5 linked regions of the Callithrix jacchus genome follow. The protein of the gene in region 5 interacts with the protein of the main gene of each other region in a pairwise test. Links are inferred from orthologs where the notes say so. Each region holds a gene or a part of one and is shown on either strand. Other genes may lie near its edges.

Region 1 (4,398 bases), on a different chromosome or scaffold from region 5:
AGTGAGTCGAGATGACACCACTGCACTCCAGTCTGGGCAACAAATCGAGGGCCTGCCTCAAAAAACAAAAACGAAGACAAAGGAACAAACAAACATAAAACCTATTCTGATTGGTCAGACACACAGTCTTAAAATAACAAAAATACTTTTAGAATGAAGCTAGATTCCACAGCATCAATTGGGAATTTCCAGTGTAGGAAATGATGAACTAGCATGTTCAAACATACAGGCTTTACAGGTGCATCAGAATCACAAGCATGTGGCAGGGTTCATGTGCCCAAATTAAGTGAATATTCTTGCTACGTGCTCAGCAGCTTATAAACAGATGGTGACCTAGACCAGACTGCCTTGATGACTCTGCTTGGAAGAAAGGCATTACATCACTGGCTGGAGAACCTCAAGGCATATGTCTGGGCAGGTGACACACACAGCTTGGGCTGTGACTGCTAAACCACTCCCACAGCCAAACAAGGAAACCCATCTCATGACCAGCTCTCAGGGGAATTCTCCAAGCCTGACTGTCACCTCTAACTCCTCTGCCAGTTAAGGTTAAAGGGTCTGTGATCAGTTATGTTATACTCTTCAAATGTGCATTTGTTTGTCTGTTTGTTTTTGAGACAGAGTCTTGTTCCCACCCAGGCCATCTTGGCTCACTGCAACCTCCGCTTCCCGGGTTCAAACGATTCTCCAGCCACAGCCTCCCAAGGAGGTGGGACTACAGGTGTGTGCCACCATGCCTGGCTAATTTTTGTATTTTTAGTAGAAATGGGGTTTTACCCTGTTGGCCAGTCTGGTCTCGAACTCCTGACCTCAGGGGATCCTCCTGCCTCGGCTTCCCAAAGTGTTGGGATTACTGGCGGGAGCCACCACGTCCTACCTCGAATGTGCATTTCGTAAATGTTTATTCAAATAGATTCACGAATAAGGGAAGAAAATGGGATTTGTTTAAATTCAATTTCTAGGTCCAAGGCAACCTATTACCGCTGTCCCTAATACTGGACGTCCAGGTTGTCCTCAGTGCTGCTTCCTACACAGTGTCCTCAAACACCACCCCTCCCATACTGTGCCCCCACCCTGTCACCACTCCGAGCAATAACCCCCAAACTGTCAACGCCCAAAACAGCTCCCTTGTCATCGCCAAGCACTAGAGACTCCCCTTAAGTCATTCTTACTCCCAAAGACCGTTCTTGTCACCAATTCCCTATTCAGACCTCCCCTATAAACGCTCTAAGAGCCCTCAACTATCAGCCACACCCCCAAAGAGCCCTCAGAGCCATACACTATCAGCCAGACGCTTCCCGCCACAAACACTCCCGAGACCCCACTCCTGTCACCAGTTCCCCGAACATTTCTTCCTGGGGTCGCCGATATTGCTCACAGACGCCCCCGTAACCAACTTCACCGCCTCCGCAGCCTAGTAGCCCCCAGAAGGAGCCCTCCGTGACTACGTGCGGCCCCGCCCCTTGGCATAGCTTCCTGGCCAGTGGCGCCGGAAGCCCCGCCCCTGACCGGTTGCTAGGCTCCAGCAGCCGGAAGTCCCGCCTGCCGTGTAGTCGCCTCCGTCGCTGCTACCGCCGCCGCCGTTGTTGTTGTGGTCGGTACGCCGAGTTCCACGGCTCCGAGAGCCGGTTCCATCCCCTCCCCGCCGCCGCCATGAAGTGGATGTTCAAGGAGGACCACTCTTTGGGTAAGCACTTGGCCATCGGACCGGCCGCGGGGGGCCGCGGCGGCAGGTGGGCCCCCTCCCCCACTCGGGCGGCCCTGGGCCGGGTGAAGCAGGACGTATGCCGCGCTCCGGGCTCGAGCCGCCAAGGCTCCGGTGCCACGAGCAGCCGTCCCTCGACCCCGCGTCACTCTCCGCGGACCCCCCTGGGAGCTAGGGGACAGGACCGCGGCCGTGGGGACGCCGGAACGAGGGCCTGGGCTGTGCGCAAGGCGCAGGAGGAGGAGGGCCGAGGGCCCGGAACCGACCTGTGGGCAGGCGCGGCCGTCAGCCCTGTTTGTTTCTGCCACAGAACACAGATGCGTGGAGTCCGCGAAGATCCGAGCGAAATATCCTGACCGGGTTCCGGTGAGTGATTGGACTCTCCGCCCCCTCACCTCGCTGTCACCTCTGTCATCTGGGAGCCGTGATAGGCCCTAGGCCATTCAACAGTTGACAAGTTGAGGTTCCATTCCCAGTTGTAGTAGAGGACGGGCCAGACTGCGATGAGGCCGCCCAGGGCCGGGGCGTGAGGGGCTCGGGCTGGTGCTGTTCAGGGTGCCTCAGTGCTGAATCTCCGGATCTAGGCCAGCGAGAGCTGTCTGCAGCCTCGGGGCTCCCTGGCCAATTATGTAAGGAACGATGTTCTAGGACAGGGCAACAGGTCACTGCCACTTTTGGGAACGGTGGTGGAGGGAGACTGTCACTTTGGTCTTGGAAGTGGTACTTGAGTCTCAGGACCTTCACCTTTTACTTGGAGCCTCCATCTTTACCCAAATTCTGGCTCCGTTGCCTCACCTTGACCCTGTCATCCCTGCCTGACCAAAACAATGTGAGAAGCCGCTGAAAACCCTTTTCTGTTATGCTTTCTTCCTAGTCAGTAGTAAATATATTTTTTCCATGTTTGGGGAGATAGTTTTGTAATTCTTGTTAATTTTTAATGGACATTAAGGCCTGTTATTGTAGCTCTTTGCTTGTGAATAATTCCGTTGGGGGAAGGAGGGACGGATTTGAAACTTGTTCAGAGAAGAGCAACAGGCCAAATGAAGAGCTTGGTTCTTGGCTGGCTGAAATTCCAGGCATTCCCATTAGTCCATCTGTTCTTGTCTCCTGTGTTCCTTGGGAACACAGTAGTGTTTCCTGTAGTGTGAAGGGGATCCATTCTGGGGTCCTGGAGTAATGGGCTATGGATGTGGATCCCCACATATTCTTAGGTCTGCCCAGATAAAATGTGGAAAAGCTTAGTAGTAAGGGCTGCATTTTTCTTACATAACTGACCACAGAAAAGCACTTACCGTTTCCCTATAACCCATTTATATCAATTCTTAACCTCCAGAGCATGTGGTTATTAAGCCAAAGACATATTTTCTCCTGCTATGCAGTTTCCCACCCACCTCCTTGCCCACACTCTGTTCCTCAGCTCCTCAGCCTTGAGGCCAGAGCCTGGCTTTAGAAACCCAGTCCTGACCTCTCTTTATTTTCCCAGGTGATTGTGGAAAAGGTCTCAGGCTCTCAGATTGTTGACATTGACAAACGGAAGTACTTGGTTCCATCTGATATCACTGTGGCTCAGTTCATGTGGATCATCAGGAAAAGGATCCAGCTTCCTTCTGAAAAGGCGATCTTCCTGTTTGTGGATAAGACAGTCCCACAGTCCAGGTGAGAGGTGTTTACTAGATGGGTCCTCTGGTGTTAGACATCTGGTTGGCTGCTTAGAGAACTCAAAAACTTTGGAGGTCTGAAAACTCTTGGGGGTTCTGACTAGAAATCTGGATTTTGTGCTCCCTGACATCAGGGGCTCCAGGAAAATAACGGCTGCAATACATAAGGGTGCATTTTAGATTCGGAAAATAGAACAAGGCCTGGACTTCTAAAAAAGGGATGAAACTCAGCCTGAGACCTCCAAGAATCTTTTAAAACATTGAGGACTTATTTAGGCTTAAGCCATAGGTAGAACTGATGCCTGAAATGAGGTTTTCTTCCCTGAAGACAGTCTGGCCACTCTCCTCCACTGGGAACCTGTGGGTTCTGCTGAGGCTTACTCAGTTAATCAAGCGGTTTGCGTGCTCCCAAACTTCGTCAGCTCTCTGCCATTGTAAGAGTCTATAGCTGTCTGATCCTCAAGTCTGACAAAATGACTGCAGCACAGTAAAGGGCTCTGAAGTCTCTTTACAGACTTAAACCTTCCTTGGTAGCACCTGCTTTGACTGTCAGACTATGGTGCTGCCTGGAAGCAGTCTTTGGGAGTGTAACTTGCAGCCCGAATGTAGGCAGGGGCATTAGAATTTCCATTTTCTGTGTATTTGACAGCCCAGCTTTAGTCCCCTCTGGAATGAGGAAAATGGACAGGCTCCGTCTAAGCTCCTGGTCAGTCCTTTCCTGTTACTGAGTGGGTAGTTCTAGGCTCTGATCCAGATTCTGGCCCTCACCTCTCCCCTGAGTGTGAGTTCCTGGCCACATCTTACCTTAGTGACCCAAAGTAGGTTTCATTTACCACCCCCAGAAGTAATACTTCTAAAAGTGAAGGCTTTCAGAAGCCCTGGGAACTAGCCCAATGTTGCCCAGATAGGTTCCTGTTGAAAATCCTTGAAGACTTCCTAAGAGGCCCGTGCCAAATTCCAGACTTTATTTCTGTTAAAGGTGGAAAGCTCTGGCTATTTTTTGGTCTGATTACCTGTTTCCCAGTCTCTACCACC
Region 2 (4,174 bases), on a different chromosome or scaffold from region 5:
GGAGCAGGGGCCTCCCCGGCAACACCCCCAGGGTCCCTGAGGGTCTGGGGTCCCAGCCCTGTTGCCAAGTGGCCTTGTCCAAGCTCCTTCCTCCCAGGCTGGTGTGAGTGTGTGTGCGTTCGTGCCGAGCTTCTATTTCATATTGCAAATATAAATAAAGGAAGACAGTTTACGATTCTGCTGGTCAGACCGTACATTCTGGGATGCGGGGAGGGCAGCCTGTGTTATCCCTGTACCCCAGCGGTTGGGGTACTCCTAACCCAGTCTGCCCCCACACTGTGTCCTGCCAGAGGGAGCCCTGTGGCTACAGAGGCCACAGGCTGGGCCAGGCACTGGCTGTGATGGCTCCTGCCAGGCCTACCCCACCTGTGGGCAGGGCCGAGGGTGGAGGATGGAAGCTGCCATCGGGGGCTCAAATCCCTGCTCCTACCCCCCTTTGGTAACCAAGCCCAGCATTGAGGCCGGGCAGTGGTGCCCAGTATGTCTGAGTCTTTGAGCCGGAAGGTAGAAGTGTAGGCCGGTGCACAGCAAGTGGAACAGGGGAGCGGTGCCAGGAAGCCTCTGTCTCGGCTACACCGGACCATGTGGGCCGGGTCATGAGGACAGTGTCCTCACTGCGGTGGCAGCTGGTTTGGAGGTCACCTAGGGCTGGCTCAGCTAGCAGGGGAGGGTGCTTATTCCCTGCATTCTTCGGGCCCCTTCCTTGTGGCCCACTGAGGAAGTGTTTGTGGTGGAGCCCCTGAGGGCCTGGTGGGGTTGAGCAGAATGAGGGAAGGTTTCATGGAGCAGGGAGGGGGTCCGCTAGTCCAGCAAGTGAAGGAGGGACTGGCCTTCCCATCCCCTCAGGAGTGTTCCTGCCAGCCAACCCCCTCCCCCGCTTCCCCATGAAGGGGTGGCTGTTGGAATTCTGCACTCCATCTCTTGTGATTGTCTGGGCCCAGGACAATGGGATGGGCGTTTGGGGACCTCACCCCCCAGCAGACAGGAGGAGCAAGCCATGTCCCAGCAGGCTAGGGCAAGGGACCCCCGATGCCAACAGTGCCTTATCAGCAGGTGCCAGGCAAGGCCATCCCCGGGGTGAGGGCGACATCTCCCTGGGCCCTGTTATCAGTTGCAGAGTCCACAGGACGCTCATTGGGTTAACGTGTAACCATGAGCCCTCCCCTCCACCCCCTGGAGCTACCCACTCCCAGATTAGGTCGCTCTGAGGGTATCAGGCCAGCATGGATGCTGGCAAAGCAGGGTCGACCCTGAAGACTCACTGCTCAGCCCAGGTGAGAGCCTTCAGAGCCATGCCTGGGGCTGGGGGATAGGGCCCAGAACCCTAGCAGCTGGGGGGTCTGGGAGGTGCTGTCCGTGAATTGGCTGGGGTCCTGGGAAGCTGGGTTCTGGCAGCCTGGTACCTGAATGGGTCCAGCCTGGACAGCTGGGGTCCCAGGTGGGGGTGGGACAGGAGCCAGGAGATCTGAGTCCTAAGAACGGGGGCTGGGCTGGGCTTCAGCTCAGCAGCTCCCTGCTTCCCAAAGTGCCTAGATGTCTGCAAGTGGCTGATTCCCTTCATCCTCTCCTGCTGCGTGTACTTCTGCCTCTGGATTCCCGAGGACCAGCCGTCCTGGGTCGCTGCCCTGGTCAAGTGCCTGCCCATCTTCTGCCTGGCTGGGTTCCTGTGGGTTGTGTCCCCAGGCGGGAGCTACACTCGGCTCCTCCAGGGAGCCCTCCTGTGCTCGGCTGTGGGGGACGCCTGCCTCATCTGGCCTGAAGCCTTCCTCCATGGTGAGTAGAAGCTGCCATGACGCCTTTCAGATGCCCGTGTCGGGGAGGCCCAGCACTTGGATGGGAGCCTGGAGTGCAGAGGGCTCCAGTGGGCGTTTTGATGGGAGTTCTGGTGGTCAGAGGCGTTGGAGGCACAGCCGTGAGCCAGGCAGCTCACGTTCCAGTGAGGGCTGGTGGGCAGGTGGTGGTAAGGCAGTAGCTGGGAGTGGCGTGGAGGACAGTGAGGACCCTGGGCTGGAGGTGCTGCAGTTTGAAGCAGGGTTGCTGAGGAAGGCTTCACTGAGGAAGTCACATTTTGGCAGACCTGAAGAAGGTGCCATGTGCCTGTGAGGGCGAAGGGCAAGTGCAGAGGCTCCAGGGCAGGGGCATGCCAGCTTGTGGCCAAACAGGCCAGGGTGGCTGGTGGGCCGGAGGGCACGGGGCTTTGGAGGCCAAGGGAAGATGGGACCTGCCGGCAGTTCAGAGCAAAGCAAGTACATGACACTGCATTTGGGGAGGCCTGCAAGGAGGCTCAGCCAGGGTTGGGGCTGGTGCTTTGGGCCGATCCTTCCCCTTAGGTCCTGAGGGGTGACCTCGGGGCGATACCAGAATGAGCCTTCCTTACTGGCACCCACCCCTCTCCCCAGGTGTAGCTGCCTTCGCTACAGCCCACCTCCTCTACCTCTGGGCCTTTGGCCTCTCTCCCCCGAAGCCGGGTCTGCTACTGCTCATCTTCCTGGCCTCTGGCCCCTACCTCATCCTCATGCTGCTGCACCTTGAGCTGGATATGGTCCTGCCCGTGGCAGCCTACGGGCTGATCCTGATGGCCATGCTGTGGCGTGGCCTGGTCTGGGGCGGGAGTGCCGGCTGGGGCGCGCTGCTCTTCACACTCTCTGATGGTGTGCTGGCCTGGGACGCCTTCGCCCAGCCCCTGCCTCACGCTCGCCTGGCGATCATGACCACCTACTACGCTGCCCAGCTCCTCATCACACTGTCGGCCCCCAGGAGCCCGGGGCCCAAGACGGACTGACTAGGCAGCTTGAAGGGCGAGCTTCCAGGCCCTCTCCTCCCGCAAGGACTCGGGCCTCCCAGACCAGCCCAGCCTGAGAAGTACCCTCCACAGCAAAGCTTCCTCACGCCTGTCTGCAGGCGCAGGCCCCGCCGCCGCTGCTCCCGGCTGAAGATGTTTAAGGACCATTCACGGAATTCCGAGTCCACTGTGGGGTTCCAGCTGCCTTCCCCCAGTTCTGACTCCAGATCCCCGGCTCCTCAGCCAGGCCCACATGCGGCCCTCCCAGCCACCAGCCCGCCTCCGAGTTCGCTGTGGGCCCCACGGTCCGCCGGCCCCTCCTGGCTGCTCTGAGTCGGTTTCGTTGTCTAAGTACAGGGCGTGGAAGTGTAGGTGCTGCTGTCACTGTGGGAGAGGCATGTGGAGGGTGACTGTGGCGATGAACCATCTTGGATCATGGCAGCGGACGTCTCGGTCACTCCCCATGAGCCAGGCCTGGTGCCCAGTGGGACCCTCCGTGGCTCTCTAGTGGGGGGCATTTGAAGGGATAAAGGTGAGGATTGTGCAGAACTGAGCCAAGAGCACTGCTGAGCCTCTGCATTTGTTTCCTGGGGTTGCCGTCACAAATTACCCCAAACCAGGTGCTTTGAAATGAGGAATGGGCTCTCCTGCAGCTCTGGAGACCCAAAGTCCAAGATCAGGGTGTTTTCCGGCCCTTGCTCTCTCCTGAGGCTCTGGGGAAGAATCCGTCCTTGCCCTCTTAGCTTCCGGAGGCTCCCAGGAATCACTGGCTTCTCTTGGCATGTGGCGGCTGTGTCTCTCCCATCTTTATGTGATTGTCTTCAAGCCCACCCTAAACCCAGGTGATTCTATCTCGAGATGCTTAACTATGTCTGCAGAGACCCTGTTTCTAAGTACTGTCACCTGTATAGGCACCTGGGCTTAGGACTCAGACATATCTGCTTAGGGGACACAACCCACTACAGTCACATGCAGTATCAGGGGACAAGGGTAGGGGCCTTGGAGGAGGGGAGGGTGACAAGGGGGAGGAATCAAATAGGAAAGAGGAACGGAGGTGTGTTCCTTGCCTTGGCTCTGTGACCTTGGCAAGTTGCTGTCCCTCTCTGGTGTTTAGATTCTGCATCTGAGGACGTGACAGGGTCCAAGATGCTCTCCAAGACCCTACTTGACTTCCACATCCATGATGTGCCTTTAGTTACTCATATAGCAGGGAGGTGACTTCTCCATCCCTGGCCAGCATTAGGGACTCTTACAGCAGAGAGGAGACTTCTCCATCCATGTCCAGCCTTTGGGGATTCTTATAGCAGAGAGGCGACTTCTCCATGTCCAGCCTTTGGGGATTCTTATAGCAGAGAGGTGACTTCTCCATGTCCAGCCTTTGGGGATTCTTAT
Region 3 (4,471 bases), on a different chromosome or scaffold from region 5:
GGTCCTTTCTTCTTGGGGCTGATATAAGAGCAAAGGATCTACAGTTCTAGGACGCGAAGCAAGCCTCAAACGGTGCAGGATTTGGCCTCCGGTGGGCCCACAGGGGCATCTGCAGAAGACCTACCTACTTCCTAACAGCAGAGCCCAAGCCAGTAGCACGTCCAAGGTCATAGCCCAAAGAGAAAACTGTAAGACACAATTTTACTTCTCTCCCCCAACAGGATGGTACTAGTCTCCGCTCAATATCTCCCTCCTCTTCTCTCCTCTCCCAAAGCAAAACCACAGAAAACATTCCAGGAGACCATACCTTCCTTCTCCAGAGTCTTCCAACGTGTGACCCTCTTATTATGTGCCAGCCAGTATTTTTAAAGGCCATCCATGGAAGGACGCTGGCCTCTAAGTCAAGGGAGCTGTGAAGGGAGACACGACACTGACAAGGAGCCCAGACAGACACTGCTTAAGATTCACCTGTTCTAGAAAACCCTCCCAGGCTGGTCCCATCTAGCATTGGGCATTCAAATACCTCACAATCTTTAGAAATAACTGATTGCTAAGGCAGGTTTTATATAGTATTTCCCTGTTTTTGCTGCTTAGCCATTTTTGTCTCACTGCTTCTTTCTCTGTGGCAAGGACTATATTTCGTTTCTCCTCTCCACCCTCACTGCCACCTGCTGCTTCCCTTCAACCCACTCCCTGCCTCTCGCCTGCCTGGCTTCAGCTCTCTGATGAAGACATTACATTCTCAGGATGGAATGTTGACTACCTGATTCCCTAATTGTGTTCTTGACTTGTCTCAAAGTTGATTCTCCTCCTTGGAAATCACCCACATCTTCAGCTCTGGCCTTTTCTTTAGCATAGTCTGCGAACTTGCAAAGGTCTTCTTGTCCACTTTTGGGTCTCCATTATTGCAGCTATAAAATTATTACAACGCTAGCCTTCCCCAGCCTAATCACATTCTGTTCATCGAATTGACAGCCTGCATTTTGTCTTCATGCAGTTGAAACTGAAATGGATTTGGAGGAAATTATCTTAAAAGACAGTTTTTTCTTCTCTATTGTGTTCATAGAGCTGGGTGAGGGGGAGGAATGCTTATTTTCCAAGAAGTTGGGGGAAGGGAAAGGTGGAGAGGTCCAAGGGCAACTGGGAGTGAGGTGGGGAGCTGGGGCAGATTTGGAAGGACTTTGGGAACTAACATCTAGGATTTTGACTCTGAGCCCCTCTCGGGGCTCCCACTTGATGGCTTCTCATGCTTGTACTGCACATCCCACACTATTAGACCCAAGGAAGTTTCCAGGACCTCTTCATTTTATTTCCACCCTCAATCCACATTTCCAGATGTCTCTGCAGCAAAGTGAAATTCCAGGCAAGCCTCAGGGAAAAGGAGAAACAAAGACAATGAAACAATTGGTAGTGAAAGGCAGAAAGAGAAGACGGGAGCCCTTAGAAAAGGGAGTATCCCTGAGGAGGTGGGGACAAGGGGAGGAGAAGGGGAGGAGGAGAGGAGGAGGAAAGCAAGCCTGTCCCTTTAAGGGGGTTGGCTGTCAATCAGAAAGCCCTTTTCATTGCAAGAGAAGAGGACAAAGATACTCAGAGAGAAAAAGTAAAAGACCGAAGAAGGAGACTGGAGAGACCAGGATCCTTCCAGCTGAACAAAGTCAGCCACAAAGCAGACTAGTCAGCCGGCTACAATTGGAGTCAGAGTCCCAAAGACATGGGTAAGTTTCAAAAACTTTAGCATTGAAGATTCAAGCAGACACAGGAATTCGCAAGAGAATTTCCAACTTTGGGGTTCGGGGGTTCCAATGGTTTACATGAGTCGTGATTTGGCACTTGTTTTCTTTTTAAATTCCTTAACATTCAGTTAGGTTAACTCCTTCTCTGCTGTACTGAGCATGATGCTTTATTACCAAAGAATTCCAGCAGCACGTGGAGAGTCACACACATCTCTGGAGAGAGTGCCCAGCCAGATGGATGTGGTCATGTGTCCTCCTACCCCCTCACTTCCCTCTATCTTCTCTTTTCCCTTGGTTCCAAGGCCCTGGTAACGGTTGGGTCTGCTTGCTCTCCTGGTTCTGCTGGAGGTCACTGAGCACTGTCTAGACCTCAGATGTACAAACTAATTGCTTGCTTGATGCAATCTTTGAACTACGTTTGACATCAGTAGGAAGCTGGGGGTTGGGCAAGCTGGACTCAGGCTTGGCCACGGCTGAGAAGGCCATTGCCAGGTTCAGGAAATGAAATAAAGTCCTCAATGGCTTGACCATGGGAAACAAATACGGGTAGGAGTGTGTGTGTATGTGCATATGTGTGTGTGCACATACAGGGGTGACTATTTCTAACAAATATCACAGACATAGCTTTCCTGAGGGCTCTCTGCTATGACAAGGAGGCTGCTGGGACATTAGGGCTCTTGCTAAGTTGGTGGAGTATTGAGGGCTTTTCTAGGTTCCATGAACAAAGACAGAAGCTATGAGGTTCTGGTGTTAGTTTCTACTCAGAGTAAGGTGTGCAGAGCACAAGGGTCTTTGTCCCTATGGGACTTCACAGAGTCATGTAGACATTGCTCACATTTGGCAAAACAGAGAGCAGCTTAAACACATCCTAAATGAAATGAGACTCAGTTGTCCCATGTATTCCCTATCAAATGTAGCACCGAGTAGATAGCATCCACAGAGATCAATTTGCAATTATATTGATCTGGTTCAGCCTTTAGGTGTTTCATCATGAAATACTGAGAGAACACTTTGAAGCATGTGCAAGGTAAAATAGGAGGGCAGAGCACTGGACAAGGAGTCAGAAAAATCAGATTCCAATCCCAGATCTGCTACTTATGAACTGCGTGACCTTGGGCAGGTCACTGAATCACCATTTCCTCATCTGGAAAATGGAGATAGCAATAACTACTTTGTCTATTTTCAGGGTTGTAAGAATCAAGTAACAATAATATGGAAGTCTTTGAAAATGGGCAAGATCTATAACAATTGTAAATCATGATAATACCTACTATTAGACAATAATGTGTACATAGGCTGACTCTTCCTCTTTCTGGGGTGGTTGGGTTTTCTTTGTGTGCTTGGATCAGATTCATTTGACCAATGAAGTGTGGCCAGGTGAGAGGTGAATGTTGGAGGAACTCAATTCCTGCCCTGGGTAACATCAAGAACCTTATCTAATGTCAGCCCAGCGGATTGGCTAGGTTGTGCATTAAAAACAGAGAGGGAGTAAAGAAGGATGTTGAATATTACTTCCTCAGAGGATGAAATCCCTGAGGAAAGGTAGGAACAAATAAGGTGACCACAGGGACAGTTGCCTGTTATGGAGGCTGGGTGATTGCCTCCAGAGGAAGATTGCCACAGATAAGGGCACCATTGAGGATGCGCATTGGTTCCCAGCTCCTAAGGGTGGATGATACTTGGGCCAGGTACATGTGATGGAGCAGCCACTGAGTTTCCATTTATTCAGTAATAGAGTGTCTACAATACTTTGAATTATAGACCATCTCTAACAAGGTACGGGACTGCCACTACTTCTGAAGTGGAGTGCACTGCTGTTCAACAATTGCAGTAAACACATTGTATCCTGGAATCTGGGATTGGAAGGAACTTTAGAAGTCGTCTGAACCAACCTTCAGTATGGGATTCATTTTTACAACAACTAATTAAACGTTTGTATAGCCTCTGCTTAATCACCTCCAGAAACAGGGAACTTACTACCTCAACCATATAGAATCCCTTAGGATTGGAAGCAACGAGGAACACTTCAGTAGTGTCTGCACAAAAGGTTTATGGGGAAAATGATAGCTTATTAAATTTTGCCTTGATTGAAAGGGGAATGTTCCAAGTAAGTCTTTGGGATAACGATGGAACCGGAAAGGAGCCAAAGAGCAGTAACTGATTATTCTCTGCTCAGTAACACAATGCCATTATTGAACAGCAAAACATTGTCTGTAAGCCTGTTGTCGTCTGAGAACAGTGGCTGTTACCCTGGTAACCAGACTGTGATGCCTTCATCCAAAAGTGGCTGTTTGCCAAGCAGTATAGTTTTGGCTGGCTTGGAGTAAGTGGGTGGAGCCCAGGCAAAAAGTGTAGCAGCAGAGCGGGGGTCCAGTTTTATACAATGCCCGAAGAATAACTGAATCCCATCAAAATGGCACAAATGCACCAAGAATGCCAGGATCCAAAAATAAACCAGATCCAAACCACCATGTTCATATTCATGTTCACTAGTCTTCCTGGAGACGCTGACTAACATAATCAAGTGCAGCCTTCCCCACCTGACTTCTCTCTCTGGCTGTGCAGAGCCAGAGGAGCTCTTGGAGAGCCAGGCAGATTGAAAGGTATACCCTGCTTTAGGGGGTCTTTGCCTTGGCTCTGAGCTAGGAAAGCCAGAAATGTACTTAACACCCTGACAACTAGAACTGCTCTCTCAGAGTGATCTGAGTAATAACACCCTCAACCCTGGGAGGTGGGTG
Region 4 (3,183 bases), on a different chromosome or scaffold from region 5:
AGCAATCCTCCCGAGTAGCTAGGATTACAGGTGAATGCCACCAGCCTGGATAATTTTTGTATTTTCAGTAGAGACAGGGTTTCATCATGTTGGCAAGGCTGGTCTCAAACTCCTGCCTTCAGCGATCTGCCCACCTTGGCATTCCAAAATGCTGGGATTACAGGTGTGAGCCACTGCATCTGGCCTATCTGGTTTTTATTAATCTTTCTTAAATGTATATATAGTTCATATTTCTTTCAACATTTAATATTAGAAGTGTTCGGGGTCTTTATTGAGAAGTTTGGTGATGTTTTTTTGACCAGAAATATGCCATAGGAACTTAACTCTTGTTTACATCAATCAGCCTAGAGTAAAAATGGTTTCATTATAGTTGTTTTGCATAAAGTCATGGTTTTCAGGAACCTATGGATGACACTGAGGATTACTGCAATACTTCTAGTAAATCTGGCAGAAAAGGCAAAGAATGAAGTTACTACTACTAACACAAATGAGACTGTCATGGTGCGCCCCATCAAAAAAGGAGAGAAAGACAGATACAAAGGAACACACGCACGTGCGTGCTCTCACACACATACATACACACACACACACGTACATGCACAAGCACCAGAAACATTTGATGTTATAAATACAACAGTGCTGAGAAAGATGAATTAATGAAAAATTGTATTTTTTGTTCTGAGAATAGGTTACATATATGATTCTAATCCATTTATTATTTTTACATTCAAGGCTACCTAAAAGAAGACAGTTATCTCATATTTGGCTGCCAGCTTTTTCTTTCTCTTGACCGCTTAAAACTTCAGACTTCCTCTCCTGTTGGTGTCATGGAGAAAGTCCAATACCTCACTCGCTCAGCTATAAGAAGAGCCTCAACCATTGAAATGCCTCAACAAGCACGTCAAAATCTACAGAACCTATTTATCAATTTCTGTCTCATCTTAATATGTCTCTTGCTGATCTGTATCATCGTGATGCTTCTCTGAAGTTCTGCTACAACCTCTAGAGCTGCAACTTACCACATCAGCTTAAAATTTGTCATCCCATGCAGACGGAAAACAATACTGTGTAACATACCACTTCCTGAGTAGAAGAGTTTCTTTGTGAAAAGGTCAAGATTAAGACTAAAACTCATTAGTAGCACATGTATTCATCTGCTGGATCTTGTAAACATGAAAAGGGCTTTATTTTCACAAAATAATCTTTTAAAAGGTATATAAAATTTACCTGTTGATTTCCTCAACATGGCTCACAAATTTCTATCCCAAATCTTTTCTGAAGATAAAATAATAGTTCTGAAACTGCACTGCCAACAAGTTCACTTCATATGTAAAGCATTATTTTTACTCTTTTGAGGTAAATATAATTTATATTACACTGTAAAAGTTTCTTTAGTATTAAGTATTTTTCAGGTCTTCACCAAGTATCAACGTAATAATACAAATGCAGTGTCATTATTCAAAATGGTCCACTAACTCCTTATATCTGCTATCTTATTATAAAAAACTCTTTGTAGTAACTACCAGTATCTATCTATATTCTAAAACAGAAATTGTATTTTTTCTATGCCACATTAACATTTTTTAAAGTTGATGAGAATCAAGTATGGCAAAGTAAGGCCATACTCTTACATAATAAAATTCCTCTTAAGTAATTTTTTCAAAGAATTACAGAATTCTAGTCCATGTAAGTAAACCATAAATCTGCTCTAAGATATTATGATCAACAGACGAGAATTGGTGGTTAACATCTGACAGTGTGATTAGTCATAATCACTAATGTACTAACAGAATAGAATCTAATCTTCCTTTAAGGCACTGTAGTGAGTTACCTGAGCTGGAGTTACCTAACTTGCCATGTCTATGGAATCATGAAACCGTAAGACTTCAGAATTATTTTACAGTTTGTTTTCTATTCAATCCTAACATCCAATGCAGGCAAAGAAAATAATAAAAGATTTCCAGTGACAGAAAAAGGTTATCTCAAGTATTTAAAAAAATAAAAATATGAATTTTCTCTCCAAATATTAACTAATTTTTAGATTACATTTTGAAATGAACTTGTTGGTCCAACTATTATATCTACAGCTGACCCTTGAATATGGGGGTTGACAATCCGTGGGTCCCCAAAAATCTTAACTACTAATAGCCCACTATTGACCATAAACCTTACTAATAACATAAACCGTAAATTAACACATATTTTGCATGTTATGTGTATTATATACTCTATTCCTACAATAAAGTAAGCTAGAGAAAAAAATCTTATTTAGAAAATCATAAGAAAGAGAAAATATATTTACTATTCATTAAATGGAAGTGGGTCAACATAAAAGTCTTCATTCTCATTGTCTTCACATTGAATAGGCGGAGGAGAAAGATGGGAAGGAAGAGAAGGGATTGGTCTTGCACTCTTGTCTTAGGGGTGTGGGGAGTGGGGGAAAAGAAAATTCATGTATAAGTGGACCGTCTCAGTTAAAGTTCTTGTCATTCTAGCATCAACTATAATAGGATATAGCTATTTTCCTTAATCTATCAATTAAATGGTAAACATCTATTTTGTAGGCCACTCTACTAAGCTAAATTATAGGTCTAACAATGCTATCTATAACTATTTTCTTGATGAATAAATTTTCAATTTCTCCTCTGATCATTTCAGAACATCTTCCAATAACTCACAAAACAACTGAAGTAAAATTTAGTGCTGGCAAATATATTCACCAAAATTTGGTAATTTAAGGTGACTAAAGTTTAAAATTTAGTCTAAACTGTATAATTCAACAATTTTAATTCCAACTGAAGACAGGTTACTAATATAACTATTATTAAAAGGGCAGAGGATATGTAATTAACCATATCCTCTAAAACATGGTTACTAAAAGAATATGAAGCATCAATATTGATCTTAGTTTCTTATACAAGTGCTGCTAACTGAATAGTGAAGGAGAGATTATTAAATTTTCTGGAAACATGAGAGGTACTAGAGATGGAAGTGGAAAAGGTTTGGTTCAGGGATACCTGAATAACCGATAGGCAGAGATTTCTTAAGTGAAGCCTCATCTACAAGTTGGAAATCCCTAATAACAAGTACAAAGCTTATAAACAACAGGTAATACACTCACCTTACTGGTTTTAGTAAATTACCAATACAAAAAGTATCCAAGTTCTATAATAAGCTGCACTG
Region 5 (3,857 bases):
TCACCACCTGATGTACGACATCTCTTCACTGTGGTCTCTGTCCCTCAGAGCGTCATCTCTCTTGGGTCAAGGAAACGCTCTGCTGACAGCTGTCTACTCAGAACCTAGAACAGGGCACAGCATGTAGCAGGCGCTCGATGCATGGCTGACTGATGAGTGACTGCCTGGCACAAGATAAGTTGAAATAAAAAGATAAACTAAGATGCAGACACAAATGCTGGGATGGATGCATTGACATTTTAAAGAATAAGAGGAGAGAGGAACAGAAGGAGGGAGGGAGGGATTAAAGAGTAGGAGGGAAGGAGGGAGGGAGAAAGGGAAGATTCAGTTCAGCTAAGTAAGAAAAAAACATGAAATCCTAAGCAGAAGCTCTAATCGGTCTCAAACATATACATTTATTTGGAAAGGATTTTCATTAATGTAATTTTTAATACAGAAGGATTTCAAACCGTCTTCAATCCCTTAGGAACGTTTTAAAAAAAATAGGGTTCATCCATACTATTTAGCTACTATAAAAAAAAAAATATGGCCAGGCATGGTGGCTCACACCTGTAATCCTAGCACTTTGGGAAGCCAAGGCAGGAAGACAGCTTGAGCTCAGGAGTTTGAGACCATCCTGGGTAACATAGAAAGACCCTGTCCCTTGTTATTTAAAAAAATAATAATTTTGGGAGGGGGAGGTGGGGAGGGATAGCCAGGGGAGAAATGCCAAATGTGGGTGAAGGGGAGAAGGAAAGAAAAGCACACTGCCATGTGTGTTCCTACGCAACTGTCTTGCATGCTCTGCTCATGTACCCCAAAACCTAAAATCCAATAAAAAATTTAAAAAAAAAATAATAATAATAATTTTTTTTTTTTTTTGAGACAGAGTTTTGCTCTGTTGCCAGGCACCAGGCTGGAGTGCAATGGCACAATCTTGACTCCCTGCAACCTACACCTCGCAGGTTCAAGCAATTCTCCTGCCTCAGCCTCCCGAGTAGCTGGGACTACAGGTGCCCACCACCACACCCCGCTAATTTTTGTATTCTAGTAGGGATAAGGTTTCACCATGTTGGCCCGGATGGTCTCAATCTCTTGACCTCATGTCCACCCATCTTGGCCTCCCAAAGTGCTGTGATTACAGGCATGAGTCACCATGACTGGCCAAATAATAAATATTTTAAAATAAAAATTAAAAAAGACACCAGACGTGGTGGCTCATGCCTGTAATCCCAGCACTTTGGGAGGCCAAGGCAGGCGGATCACGAGGTCAAGAGATCGAGAGCATCCTGAGCAACATGGTAAAACCCATCTCTACTAAAAGTACAAAAATTAGCTGGGTGTGGTGGTGTGTGCCTGTAGTCCCAGCTACTCGGGAGGCTGAGGCAGGAGAATCACCTGAACCCGGGAGGCGGAGGTTGCGGTGAGCCGAGGCTGCACCACTGCACTCCAGCCTGGCAACAGACTGAGACTCTGTCTCAAAGAAAAAGGAAGGAAACAGTACATTTTTAAGTATGATGTGGAAAGAAGCCCATATTGCGTAATACCTCTACATTAAAAACTACCAAGTACTACTGAGAGAAATTAAAGACATCCTTCAATATCAAAGGGATATTTGACATTTGGGGTTGGCTGGTTCAAAAAGAAAAAAATAACAGACTTTAGGACAAAAAAAAAAAACCACAGTTTTAGAGACGAAGACCATAACTATAAAAACAAAACGTTCAATTCACCAAGGGTTGACAATTATAACTTTTAGTCATCTACAACTGACAGAACTAAAGGGAAAATGGAAAATCTACTACCATCCTGACAAATCTGAACATGCCTCTCTTAGTAAATAATTAGACAAAAAAACTGGAAATGACTGAAAGATTTAAACCACATAATATTTAAATGTGAATGGACATGTATAGACCTACACCAACAATTAAAGAATATACATTCTCCTGAAACACACATAAAATATTATATATAAAATGTTATATATATTATATACATAAAATATAAAATATAAATATAAAATACAATATATAATGCATATGTTATATATATTATAGTATATTTCATATTGTATATATTATATAATATATATAACAAAAATATATATTTGTTGTTGTTGCTGCTGCTCTGTTGACCAGACTGGAGTGCAGTGGTGCAATCTCAGCTCACTACAACTTCTGCCTCCTGGGTTCCAGTGATTCTCCTGCCTCAGCCTCCCAAGTAGCTGGGATTGCAGGCACATGCCAACAGGCCCAGCTAATTTTTTGTATTTTTTAGTAGAGATGGGATTTCATCCTGTTGATCAGACTGGTCTCCTGACCTCAGGTGATCCACCTGCCTCAGCCTCCCAAAGCACTGGGATTACAGGTGTGCACCACTGGGCCCAGCCCTATATAATATATATTTTCTGACTGATCATGATAGTAAGTCATAACTCAAGTTTCAATGCCATGATGGCCGTGCTTTCTGATGAAACAGAATTAAATTAGTAATTGAAAACATAATTTTAAAACTTGTAAATATTTGGAAATTTAAAAATATATTTCTAAGTAATTCAGGTATTAAAGAATATACAAGGCAAATTTTAAAATAACTGTACAAAAATAATAAGTACATATCAAAAAGTATGGCATAGAACACGGCACAGTGGTTGGCACCTATAGTCCCAGCCTGTACTCCTGGCTATTCAGGACCTGAAGCAGGATCACCTGAGCCCACAAGTTTGAGACTGAGGCCTGCCATGACAGTGCCTGCAACTAGACACTCTACTCCAGCTGGGGTAACACAGCAAGAACCCGTCCATCTCTTAAGAAAAACAACAACAACGACGAACCTAATTTTTTTTAAGAAAATATTTTTAATGTATAACAGCTCATACCCAGCCACCTTGCTGAATGATGTACTCTGCCGAATAGTCTTCCAGATACGTCACGCCAAACTTCAGCAGTGCACTCAAAGATTCTTGACCACGCCTTGTCAACTCCAAAAGCATTTGTCGCAGCAAAACCAGAGGCACCAAAATCTTCAATGCAAAGATGAGAGAATTTAAAAAAAATACCGAAATTCTTATAATATGTTTTATATGTTCAACTACTAGAAAATTATACTTAGATACATCATTATGACATTTTATTTTCATTATATAAAAGAAATAAAACAGTAACTTCTATTATGATTTTGCTGAATAGTGCATGTAGGTTTTATACAATAGGAAGGTAGAAATAGTTATTGAAAATAATTAGGTATGTGTGTGAGAAATATAGAAGGAAATTCACTAATGCATTACTAATTATTATTATTATTATTTTTTTGAGATGGAGTCTCACTCTTTCACCCAGGCTGGAGTGCAATGGCATAATCTCAGCTCACTGCCGCCTCCGCCTCCCAGGTTCAAGTGATTCTCTGCTCAGCCTCCTGAGTAGCTGGGATGACAGGTATGCGCCATGATGCCTGGGTAATTTTTGTATTTTTAGTAGAGATGGGTTTCACCATGTTGGCCAGGCTGGTCTCAAACTCCTGGCCTGAAATTATCTACCCGACTTGGCCTCCCAAAGTGCTCGGATTATAGGCGGGTGTCACCATGCCCAGCCTAAAGCATTGTTTTTTTAATTTCTTTTTTTAGATGGAGTCTCACATTGTCACCCAGGCTGGAATGCAGTGGCGCAATTTTGGCTGCCTACAACCTCTGCCTCCTAGGTTCAAGCCATTCTCCTGCCTCAGCCTTTCGAGTGGCTGAGATTACAGGCACCCACCACCAGGCCCAGCTGATTTTTCGTATTTTTAGTAGGGATGGGGTTTTACTACGTTCGTCAGGCTGGTCTCCAACTCCTGACCTCATGATCCACCCCGCCTTGGCCTCCCAAAGTTCTGGGATT

Evidence for each region.
Region 1: the proteins of BCL2L13 (region 5) and GABARAPL2 interact in binary tests that used the Homo sapiens proteins (3 or more experiments, as listed by UniProt). The two-hybrid records come from large-scale screens. The link is inferred for Callithrix jacchus from reciprocal best matches to the Homo sapiens genes BCL2L13 and GABARAPL2.
Region 2: the proteins of BCL2L13 (region 5) and TMEM86B interact in binary tests that used the Homo sapiens proteins (3 or more experiments, as listed by UniProt). The two-hybrid records come from large-scale screens. The link is inferred for Callithrix jacchus from reciprocal best matches to the Homo sapiens genes BCL2L13 and TMEM86B.
Region 3: the proteins of BCL2L13 (region 5) and PLP1 interact in binary tests that used the Homo sapiens proteins (3 or more experiments, as listed by UniProt). The two-hybrid records come from large-scale screens. The link is inferred for Callithrix jacchus from reciprocal best matches to the Homo sapiens genes BCL2L13 and PLP1.
Region 4: the proteins of BCL2L13 (region 5) and PLN interact in binary tests that used the Homo sapiens proteins (3 or more experiments, as listed by UniProt). The two-hybrid records come from large-scale screens. The link is inferred for Callithrix jacchus from reciprocal best matches to the Homo sapiens genes BCL2L13 and PLN.

Annotation. Positions count from the first base shown.
Region 1 is NC_133521.1:32,970,904-32,975,301, forward strand, and holds the start of GABARAPL2 (gamma-aminobutyric acid receptor-associated protein-like 2), read left to right. Parts: upstream 1-1,544; 5' UTR 1,545-1,653; coding exon 1,654-1,687; intron 1,688-2,015; coding exon 2,016-2,071; intron 2,072-3,188; coding exon 3,189-3,361; intron 3,362-4,398. UniProt on the Homo sapiens protein: Ubiquitin-like modifier involved in intra-Golgi traffic. Modulates intra-Golgi transport through coupling between NSF activity and SNAREs activation. It first stimulates the ATPase activity of NSF which in turn stimulates the association with GOSR1.
Region 2 is NC_133523.1:48,094,298-48,098,471, reverse strand, and holds TMEM86B (lysoplasmalogenase TMEM86B), read left to right. Parts: upstream 1-1,191; 5' UTR 1,192-1,223; coding exon 1,224-1,274; intron 1,275-1,526; coding exon 1,527-1,773; intron 1,774-2,399; coding exon 2,400-2,782; 3' UTR 2,783-3,328; downstream 3,329-4,174. UniProt on the Homo sapiens protein: Catalyzes the hydrolysis of the vinyl ether bond of choline or ethanolamine lysoplasmalogens, forming fatty aldehyde and glycerophosphocholine or glycerophosphoethanolamine, respectively and is specific for the sn-2-deacylated (lyso) form of plasmalogen.
Region 3 is NC_133524.1:99,825,220-99,829,690, forward strand, and holds the start of PLP1 (myelin proteolipid protein), read left to right. Parts: upstream 1-1,589; 5' UTR 1,590-1,711; coding exon 1,712-1,715; intron 1,716-4,471.
Region 4 is NC_133505.1:124,886,340-124,889,522, forward strand, and holds the end of PLN (phospholamban), read left to right. Parts: intron 1-732; 5' UTR 733-827; coding exon 828-986; 3' UTR 987-2,334; downstream 2,335-3,183. UniProt on the Homo sapiens protein: Reversibly inhibits the activity of ATP2A2/SERCA2 in cardiac sarcoplasmic reticulum by decreasing the apparent affinity of the ATPase for Ca(2+).
Region 5 is NC_133502.1:212,820,359-212,824,215, reverse strand, and holds part of BCL2L13 (bcl-2-like protein 13), read right to left. Parts: intron 3,005-3,857; coding exon 2,861-3,004; intron 1-2,860. UniProt on the Homo sapiens protein: May promote the activation of caspase-3 and apoptosis.